Linked DNA regions of Oryctolagus cuniculus. The protein of the gene in region 1 interacts with the protein of each later gene in a pairwise test. Links are inferred from orthologs where the notes say so. Each region holds a gene or a part of one and is shown on either strand. Other genes may lie near its edges.

Region 1 (5,073 bases):
GCTCTGGTGTAGTGGGTAAAGCCACCGCCTGCAGTGTTGGCATCCCATATGGGCGCCGGTTCAAGTCCTGGCTGCTCCACTTCCAGTCCAGCTCTCTGCTGTGGCCTGAGAAAGCAGCAGAAGACGGCCCAAGTCCTCGGGCCCCTGCACCCACGTGGGAGACCTGGAAGAAGCACCTGGCTCCTGGCTTCGGATCGGTGCAGCTATAGCCATTGCGGCCAATTGGGGACTGAACCAGCAGATGGAAGACCTCTCTCTCGGCCTCGCCTTCTCTCTGTAACTCTTGACTTTCAAATAAATAAATCAAATAAATCTTTAGAAAAATATTAGGGACACTCCCTACTTTCCAGAGACTGCCAAGGCCAGGCTTAGGGAGAAGCCATCTTTCATCTCTGAACCAAAATGAGAAAACAGGCATGGATCTCTAAAAACCACCTGTCTTTCATTCTTTACTGGTGGGTTTGTCTTTAAATGCTACACATGTAAAAGATTCCACAGAACATCAGCAAAGCCTTTGCTTAAATAATTTCCACCTATACTTACCATTCTGTTCTCTGTCATGTGCTGAAAGTCCACACAATAGAATAAGTGGCTTTTCCATCTTTCCCATGTTCCAAATCAATGGCAGTAGTCGTGGGATCAATTCCAAGAGAATGCAAACGCCATGAGTGGCAAGTATCCCCAGAGGATGTCGTGAGCACACCTGGCCTCACAGACGCGAATCTGCCAGGGGTTCCTCCCTGTGGGCTCACTGCCTGTCCCCTCCCACGTCAGTGCCTGAAAGCTCAGACACACAGCACGAGGAGGAGCTTCTCCCCGGAATCGCCACTCCCCACCACACGTCCAAGCATTGGGTTGACCTGTGTCTATAGCTCTGCTAAGTGAAACTTGGCTGTTTCTCACCTCAAAAAACCAGCAACGTACCAGGGACCAACCTAACCCGTGGATTCCCACACACTGCTCAGAATACAAGCTGAGGCTCTCAAATCCGAAACTCCAAGATCACATGGAAAATCCCACCCCAGACGCACGCCACAGCCAGAGGGCAAGCACGCTCAAAGTATATACTCAAATCATCTCCGGGCTATGTGAATAAGCGTGAATGCATTTGTGTTCAGGCTCATGTCTCACGGTTGAGATATCTAACTGCATCTGTGCCACCTGAAAAAACTTCAAGTCCAAAGCACTTCTGTTCCCAAGCATCACAGCCCAGGGACCCTCTCCCTCCACCTGCAATCCACAAACACCACTCGGCCTAAAATTCTTTGCCATACATCTCCCAAGAGTGACAGATCCAAAAATCCATAACTTTTCCTCAAACAGTTCACATGAACAAAATGCTATGACTCTAACATCATCATTTATCCTTTATTTTTTTTTAAAAAAAGATATTTATTTATTTGAAGTCAGAGTTATGCAGAGAAAGGAGAGGCAGAGAGAGAGAGAGAGAGAGAGAGAGAGAGAGAGAGAGGGCTTCCATCAACTAACCCATTCCCCAATTGGTTCCATCTGCTGGTTCACTCCCCAATTGGCCACGACAGCTGGAGCTGTGCTGATCCAGAGCCAGGAGCTTCTTCCGGGTCTCCCATGTAGGTGCCAACTTCCACTGCTTTCCCAGGCCATAGCAGAGAGTTGGATCCAAAGTGGAGCAGCTGGGACTCGAACCGGCACCCATATCGGATGACACCACTGCAGGTGGCGGCTTTACCTGCTGCGCCACAGCACTGGCCTCTCATCATTTATTCTGAGACATCTGGACCATCCACAAGATGTCTTTTGTCACCCTTGGGGGTGGAGGCCAAGGGGATTCACTTAGCAAGGTCCACACATGTCTGTGTGGCCTGACGCTGGGCTGTGCTGCTTTCCACTACCTCTGAGCTCTCTGCTCCCTTCTACCCGCACTCAGGGGAGGCATGCAGCAGCCCTTCCACGCCAGGTGACGTGTACTTCCCAGCGTGCCACAAGAGGAGGGGAAAAACCACATGCAAATCTGGTTTGTAAAATTTCACCCTAAAAGTTTCCCAACAAAACAGGCAGAAGAGAAAGGAACGCGCACACGTGGACAGCTCAGCAACTCTGCCTGGGGGTGATCTCAACTCCTCTGTGTTCCTAACCCAACTCTCCTTCCAGCGCACTGCAAAGCAGCCCCGGACAGCGTGGCAGCTCGGCCTGCGGCGCCATCAAGCGGGCAGGCCATCGCTGTGCACGGTTCCTCGCCTTTCTTTAACCCTACAGCTCATTTGCATTCCGACCCAATCAGGCTCACACATGGGTCACACCTCCTCGGCCCTTTCTTTTTTTTTCTTGCAACTTATTTCTTTAAGAAATGCAGTCATGTGATCCCGTAGCTTGCCACAGTCCGACATTTGGAGAGGCGGAGCACTCATCTGCTGGTTGACTGCCCCCATGCCTGCAGTGCCCAGGGCTGGGCTGGGCCACAGCTGGGGACTCATTCCAGGTCCCCATGTGGGTGGCAAGGACCCAGCCACCTGAGTCGGCCCCACCACTTTCTGAAGCCTGCATTAGCAGGCAACAGGAGTGAGGAGCAGGCACTCTGCCGTGGGCCGTGGGCAGTCTAAGCACGGGGATACACACTCACCCCAGGCTTCTCTCCAGCTGCAGCCCCATGGGGGCGGTCAGCACCACTTCGGGTTTCCTGTAACTTGTAGCTGACTTCCGAGGCTTGCTGAGACTTCGGCTCGCTTGTTTACGACAGACTGCACTTCCTTCGGAAAGCACATGAACGTCTGGCTCGCTTGCGCGCTCGCTCTCTGTGTGCTGCAGCCTGAGCAACAGGGTGGCACCTGCCAGGCTTCTGCATGGCAAAGATACCCTTTGTCCTCGGAGGTCAACAGGCAGGGTGACAGCCGGATTCTGTGACGGCCCGACAGGCTCAGCATCCACGGGCCGCTCTTGCTTCTGCCGCTACCTGCTCTGGAGATGGCGGGGCAGGGACGCTCCCAGGCCAGCGCCCCTTCACAGAGGGGCCGGCATCCCCCGTAACACGAGCACCGAGCACTCACACCCCTCCTCTTCTCTCCCACCGTGTGCATTTAGGGTTTTTATTTTTAAAGATCTATTTGTTTGAAAGAGTGATGGAGAAGGAGGGAGAAACAGAGAAAGACATCTTTCCTCTGCAGGTTCACTCCCCACAGTTAGCTGCAATGGTTAGAGCTTGGCCAGGCGGCAGCCAGGAGCTAGGAACTCCACCGGGGTCTCTCGGCAGGTGGCAAGGGCTCAAGTACTTGGGCCCCCTTCCACTGCCTTCCAGTGCGGGGTTGGAAGCTAAGCATCTGGGACTCACACTGGCACTGCGACGTGGCATGCCGGTATCACCAGCAGCGTCTCAACCCGCCCGCCGCAACACAACACAGACCCCAGACTCTATGTGCTGCCATCCACGCTGTCTTCATTTCATTCTGACGCTCCGACTGTCCCAAAGCTCCAACTGTCCTGGGAGCTCCTTCAAGCCAGCGCCAGTGTCCTCCTGACGCGACGTCGTCATCTGAGTGCCTCACACCAAGCTAACCTTGCCCACGTCCTGCCCCAGACCTCAAGTCAGCCGCGTCTCCAAAGAGCACCTTTCACTGGGGAATGGCTCTGAGACATCAAGACCAGAGCACTCTTCGCGACCTTTGCTGAAGAGCCATCACTCCCCGGACTTGCGCTGTGGTGCGGCGGGTTAAGCTGCCGGCTGTGACTCCCATGTGGGCTCTGGTTCAAGTCCCTGCTACTGTTCCTGGAAACACAGCAGTTGATAGCCCAAGTGCTTGAGTCCGTCACCCACTTTGGAGACCCGGATGAAGCTCCTGGCTCTGGCCTGGCCCAGCCCCGCCTGGCTGTTGTAGCCATCTGAGGAATGAAGCAGCAGATGGAGGATTCTTTTTTTCTCTCTCTTCCCCTGCAACTCTTTCAAATAAATCAATCTCCAATAAATAAACCCATAGATCAGTCAATCAATCCTACTGTCATTGCTCTGGGCTCTTTGGCGAAAGCCAAGACGTCTCCCATCTCTGGCATCGCAAGTTCAGAGGCATGCCCTGAATGAGAGTCGGATGTGGCAGGGTTCCTTCCCACTCCCCACAACCCCATGCTGGCGTCTTCCTTCCCCGATGACGGAAGCCCCCAGTCACCTATATTCCCAGCGCCTTGATCTGTGAGGCACAAGGCACGGTGCCAAGTCACACCACGGACAGACCGCCACCAACAATCAATCACTTTCACGTTTTCTTCACAGCCCTGTCTCCCCTGGGACACCCAGACAGTCACACCTGGGGAGGCAAAGGTGCTGCCATCGGGCGGAAAGTGGACAGAGAGGCCTGCAGGGGGTGACGTTTGCTAACGACTTGTACTGCTCTGCCAGGATGCTCTTAGGTGGAACTGAAGCTTCCTATCAGAGTGCGTGGGGTGAGTGACACAGCGGCCCACTCGGATGCCACTGCCTGGACTCAGGCCGGCAGGCTGTCCCCACCTTGCTGGTGCACAATTAGGACAAATATCAAGGCAGCAAAAATGGCGGCCACAGCTACTCTGACAACAAATCTGCCCTCCTGGACCGAGAGGGCTCAGGGGCCCCCCGTCCACACTCTGACAGCTCCCCTGGCAGGTGCGGAGTGGGGTCCTCAAAAGCCACCTGGATGCCTTGTACGCTGTGTGTGTTCCACGTTGAACTAACTTGACATCCAGTTGGGTTCACCTCACAAATGACTCATCCTTAGTCCTCTTCCTTTTATCAAGATCTTAAATGCTTCTGGTTTAAAAACTACTAGAAATTCATGGTTAAATCAAAGCAAGGTTTTGGGGGGTCTGTTTTTGCTTTTGTTTTATTTATTTATTTGAAAGTCAGAGTTACAGAGAGAGAAGGACAGAGAGTTACAGAGAGCGAGAGACATCTTCCATCTGCTGGTTCACTTCCCAATTGGACGCAAAGGCCAGGGCTGGGCCAGACCGAAGCCAGTAACTTCATCTGGGTCTCTCACATGGGTGCAGGGGCCCATGCACTTGGGCCATCCTCTGTTCCTTCCCAGGTGCATTAGCAGGGAGCTGGATCAAAAGTGGAGCAGCCAGGATTTG
Region 2 (4,812 bases), on another chromosome or scaffold:
CCACTTCAGTCTCACATCCTGTATTGCTCCCCACCCCATCCATCCCCTGCAAAGAACCAGTATGGAGCCGCTCACCCCCCCACTGCCCCCCCACCCTACCCCAGCCCACCTAAGATATAAAAAGCCCAGCCTTGGCCGGTGCCACAGCTCAATAGGCTAACCCTCCACCTGAGGCGCCGGCACACCGGGTTCTAGTCCTGGTTGGAGCACCGGATTCTGTCCAGCTCTCTGCTGTGGCCTGGGCGTGCAGTGGAGGATGGCCCAAGTCCTTGGGCCCTGCACCCGCATGGGAGACCAAGAGAAGCACCTGGCTCCTGGCTTCGGATAAGCATGGTGCGCCGGCCGCAGGGCACTGGCTGCAGCGGCCACTGGTGGGTGAACCAACGGAAAAAGGAAAACCTTCCTCTCTGTCTCTCTTTCTCACTGTACACTCTGCCTGTCCAAAAAAAAAAAAAAAAAAAAAAAAAAAAAAGCCCAGCCTGCTGTGGTCTGGGCCCTCTGCCACTTGTTCAGTCTGTGTGTACACTGGCAGTTGGTTGACCTCTGCGGATTTATTTTCTTTGAATAAATTCGGTCTAGTTGCGAGTTGGTACTCTGTCTCCTCTGTTCTGTACCCCTTTTTCTTACACGTGATGCCTTGTGTGAGGAGGCACCCATCTGCACCCTGTTTTCTTTTAATAACTTTTTTCAATTTTTGTTTTCTATTTATGTATTTGACAGGTAGAGTTATAGACAGTGAGAGAGAGAGAGAGACAGAGAGAAAGGTCTTCCTTCTGTTGGTTCACTCCCCAAATGGCCGCTACAGCCAGCGCTGCGCTGATCTGAAGCCAGGAGCCAGGTGCTTCTTCCCGGTCTCCCATGCAGGTGCAGGGGCCCAAGCACTTGGGCCATCCTCCACGGCCCTCCGGGGCCACAGCAGAAAGCTGGACTGGAAGAGGAGCAACCAGGACTAGAACCCGGGCCCCAACCGGGACAAGAACCCGGCGCCCATATGGGATGCCGGCACCGCAGGTGGAGGATTAACCAAGTGAGCCACGGGGCTGGCCCCACACCCTGTCTTCTTACACCAGCGCTCCCAAACAGGCACACCTCCTGCTGGAACCCTGAATGAACACTCATTCAACAACCCTCCTATTTCCTTCCTTCCTTCCTTCACAGTCTACTCAATTGTCTAAAAGAACTCTGAGTTACGCATACCCCCGCGTGCTCCACAAGTTCTTTCCCCAGACGTCTGGAACCCCCAGGGTGGCGTTTCCGTATATTGGCTAAGGCAGTGGCATGAAAATAATTAGCAATTTATTGAACATTTACACTTTGTCAAGCATTGGTCTACATTTCTCAACAGCAGCCCTATGAAAGGTACCGTCATCGGCCCCACTCACAGATGAGGAAAACAAGGAATAGAAAGGTTAAACAGTCTCTTCAAGGTTACAGCAGCCAGTTAGTGGCCAAATATTCCACACAACCTGGGGCTACAGACACATGGCTCTTAATCACTTATTCTTGACTGCAGAGCTGCCTACTGAAAATATGGCCAACAGTATATGGAACTTACTTTTTTAAATATTTATCTATTTATTTGAAAGTCAGAGTCACAGAAAGGCAAAGGCAGAGGGAGAGGGAAGGAAGGAGGGAGTGAGAGAGAAAGGTGTCTTCCATCCCTTGGTCCATTCCCCAAATGGCCCAACGGCCACGGTTGGCCAGGCCAAAGGCAGGAGGCAGGAGCTTCATCTGGGTCTCCCTGGGTCTCCCATGTGGGTATAGGCAGCTGGATAAGAAGTGGAGCAGCCAGGTCTCAAACTGGCGCCCTTATGGGATGCTGGACCTGCAGGCAGCAGCTTAACCTGCTACACCACAGCGCCGGCCCCGTGAAGTGGAACAACTGGGACTTGAACTGGTGCCCATAAGGGATGCCACAGCACTGCAGGCGGCAGCTTTACGCACTCTGCCAGAGCCAGCCCCTTAGAATTTTCTAGTGGCCACATTGAAAAGTCAGGTTAAAACACTGCCTGCCATGATGGCATCCCATACCACAGCACTCATTCCACTTCTGATCCAGCTCCCGGCTCATGCGCCTGGGAAGGCAGCAGAAGATGCCCAAGTACCTGGGTCCCTGCCGCCCCTGTAGCAGGATGGAGTTCCTGGCTTCTGGCTTCAGCCTGGCCCAGATGTAGCTTGTTGCTGCCATTTGGGGAGTGAACCAGCAGACAGAGATCTCTATCTCCCTCTCCCTCTCCCATTTTCATTCTGTTGCTCAGTCTTTCAAGTAAAAAATAAATACATCTTTTAGAAAGTCAACAGAAACAAGTAAAATTGGTTTTAAATGTATTTTATTTCACCCATTATCCAAAATAGGATCACTTAATCAATATGATCGATAATCAGTGTGGTTGCTAGACTCAGCGTGATCACAAAATCCTATAAAAACACTCCTTTTTTCTCGCTGAGTCTTCGGAACCCAGTGTGATCTCATACTCACAGTACCCCTCAGCTCTGACTGGCCACACGTCAGGGGTCGGGAGGGCGTGCGGCTACCGACCCCGGACGGGCAGGGCGGTTCTGCGGCCTCCCACGCGGAGCCTCTCAGGCAATCAGAGAAGCGATGAATCCCGAGGTTGAAGTCAGGATACCTGCGCTCCGACCCCGGCTCTCACCTGCTCAGGGACCTCGGCCCGGCCTCCCGTTTTCCCACAAGTACCCCAACAAGGGAGCCTTCCTGCTTCCCAGGGGCCCAGCCCAAGCTGGAATTACGAGCATCTCCCAGCAAGGGCGGCCAACTCGGGCACAGCTTTGCACGCTCAGCAGCTGACACAGACCTCAAACAACTCTACTAAGTAGCTGAAACCGTCTCCACTATGCAGATAAGAAAACTGAGGCTAGCGGCACAAACTCAACGACTCGGCGGTGGCGGCCGCTGGGAGAGGACGATGGGAACCAGACCTCTGGATGGGGTGCGAGTAGGCAAAGGGGCTCAGGCCCGGAGCAGGCATAGGAAGGGACTAGCGAAGTTTGCAGGAGTGAAGTGAGATGAGGTCAGAAGCGAGGGGGCCCGGAAGGAGATGAGACGAGGTGAGACCAAGGCACTCTGGCCCTGCGATCTCCGACCCGGTGAGGAGCAGTCTCCCGGTCTCCCCAGTCCCTCATACCTGGTAGCTCAGAAGTTCGCCCACGTCCATAGTTCCCCGTCCAGGCAACAGCCGATCCGCTCGTTCCCTCCACTCAAACCCACACCGCGGGCCGCTCGGCAGCGCTTCCAGCCACACTGCCGAAAAGCGCCCTGTGCCAGGCCCCGCAGAGCCAATAGGGTAAAAGTGCGTGCGGCAGGCGAGCAGCCACACTGCGGAAAAAGGCAGCGCTACCGTAAAGCGCGCCGCAGTGGTGACCGTACGGCTTCCGCCTGGAGCCTGAAAGGGGCGGGGAAGGGGGCGGAGACTTGGAGGAGGGAGGCGTGGGGAGAGAAGGGGCGGCGGGAGCCGGGATTTAATGCGCTCCCTCTCTGTGTAGGGCGGGGTGGTGTGGCCTCACGTGTGCTCTCACAAGCCCTGCGGTGGTCCAGGCGATTTCATCCAGGTAAGGAAACTGAGGCTCAGAACGGCATAGGCCAGCACCATGTTCCACGCAGCCACAGAGTAGCTATCGCGCGCTTGAAATCCAGCCAGAATGCACACGGGGTTTCCAAGACTTAGACTGATGACACGTCGAAATGTTCGGGCCAAATAAAATAGATGAGAAAATTAATCTCTCTCGTATCTTTTGACTCCTTCAACGTGGCTGCAAGATTTTTACATCTGTGGGTCTCATGTGTATTTCCGATGGGCAGGGCTAGCTCCAAAGGTGAGGGGCCAGGGCCTACAGCCAGGACTGCCACCGCACCTGGGGGTGGTCGTGGATTCCTCCCAAGCTTCTGATCATCCAGGCAAGGCCGCTGGGAGCTGATCCAAGTGGTGCAGACGGGTTTTCTGGAGGAGAAACTGCCCGTCACTGGAAGACAATCAAAGAGTGCATCTCATCTTCTGAGACTCTGTCTTCCAGACTCCACCCAGGGAATTAAACCTCCCCATAAGCCCCTGCCCTTCACATTCATATCTATAATCCCATCCCACTGTCTCAAGCTGCACAGAAATTCATTTCATTCTTCAAATCCTCTCTTCTGCCTGGCTGGTAGCGCCACGCCTCATCCAACTCACTGGTCCATCTGATACCAAGTGTCGCCTTCTGAGAGTGGGCTTCCTCAACTCACCACACTCCAAGTGGCAGCGGCTCCCCGGTCCCTATCCTCCCTGGGGCCTGTTCCACGGTCTGTGTCTCAGTCTGTAATTTTGTACTCAACGTTTGGCTGCTTGGTTCTTGTCCGTCAGCCTCTGTGTCCTGGAGCGAAGGCTGTTTGAGAGAAGGATCGTGGGGGTTGTGTGTCTCCAAAGCCCAGGCCAGGGCCTTGTGCGCCTTGGGAGACACTGGATTGTGTGCTCACAGGCATGGGAAGGCAGTTCTGTGATTGGTTTGTTTTTTAAGGCTCGTCTGTACACTCTGCTTTGAACCGAGTTTGCTTCGGGTGACCTTTCTCCTCACTGAGGCAGAACAGACCTGGACACGAGCAGCCCTGTGTTCTAATGTATGATATGCAGGGCCAGCTGGTGTAAGAAGGCTCACACAATACGGCTCTATTTTCAGGACGTTTGGGAGTGTTTCCACACTGTGAACCAGTGACTGCTACACATCGGGGTGGTCACGGTTTGCTGTTGTTTTTACAAAGTCTGTTGTTAAACATCTCCCAGCACCCCCCTAACTGGAGCTAGCCCGAGTTCTACCACG

The links. The genes of interacting proteins can lie anywhere in the genome.
Region 2: the proteins of CDCA7L (region 1) and CTNNBL1 interact in binary tests that used the Homo sapiens proteins (3 or more experiments, as listed by UniProt). The link is inferred for Oryctolagus cuniculus from reciprocal best matches to the Homo sapiens genes CDCA7L and CTNNBL1.

Annotation. Positions count from the first base shown.
Region 1 is NC_091447.1:13,943,117-13,948,189, forward strand, and holds the start of CDCA7L (cell division cycle-associated 7-like protein), read right to left. Parts: upstream 3,020-5,073; 5' UTR 2,629-3,019; coding exon 2,600-2,628; intron 577-2,599; exon of another isoform or gene 562-576; coding exon of another isoform or gene 544-561; intron 1-543. UniProt on the Homo sapiens protein: Plays a role in transcriptional regulation as a repressor that inhibits monoamine oxidase A (MAOA) activity and gene expression by binding to the promoter.
Region 2 is NC_091442.1:20,960,153-20,964,964, forward strand, and holds the start of CTNNBL1 (beta-catenin-like protein 1), read right to left. Parts: upstream 3,405-4,812; 5' UTR 3,177-3,404; coding exon 3,147-3,176; intron 1-3,146. UniProt on the Homo sapiens protein: Component of the PRP19-CDC5L complex that forms an integral part of the spliceosome and is required for activating pre-mRNA splicing.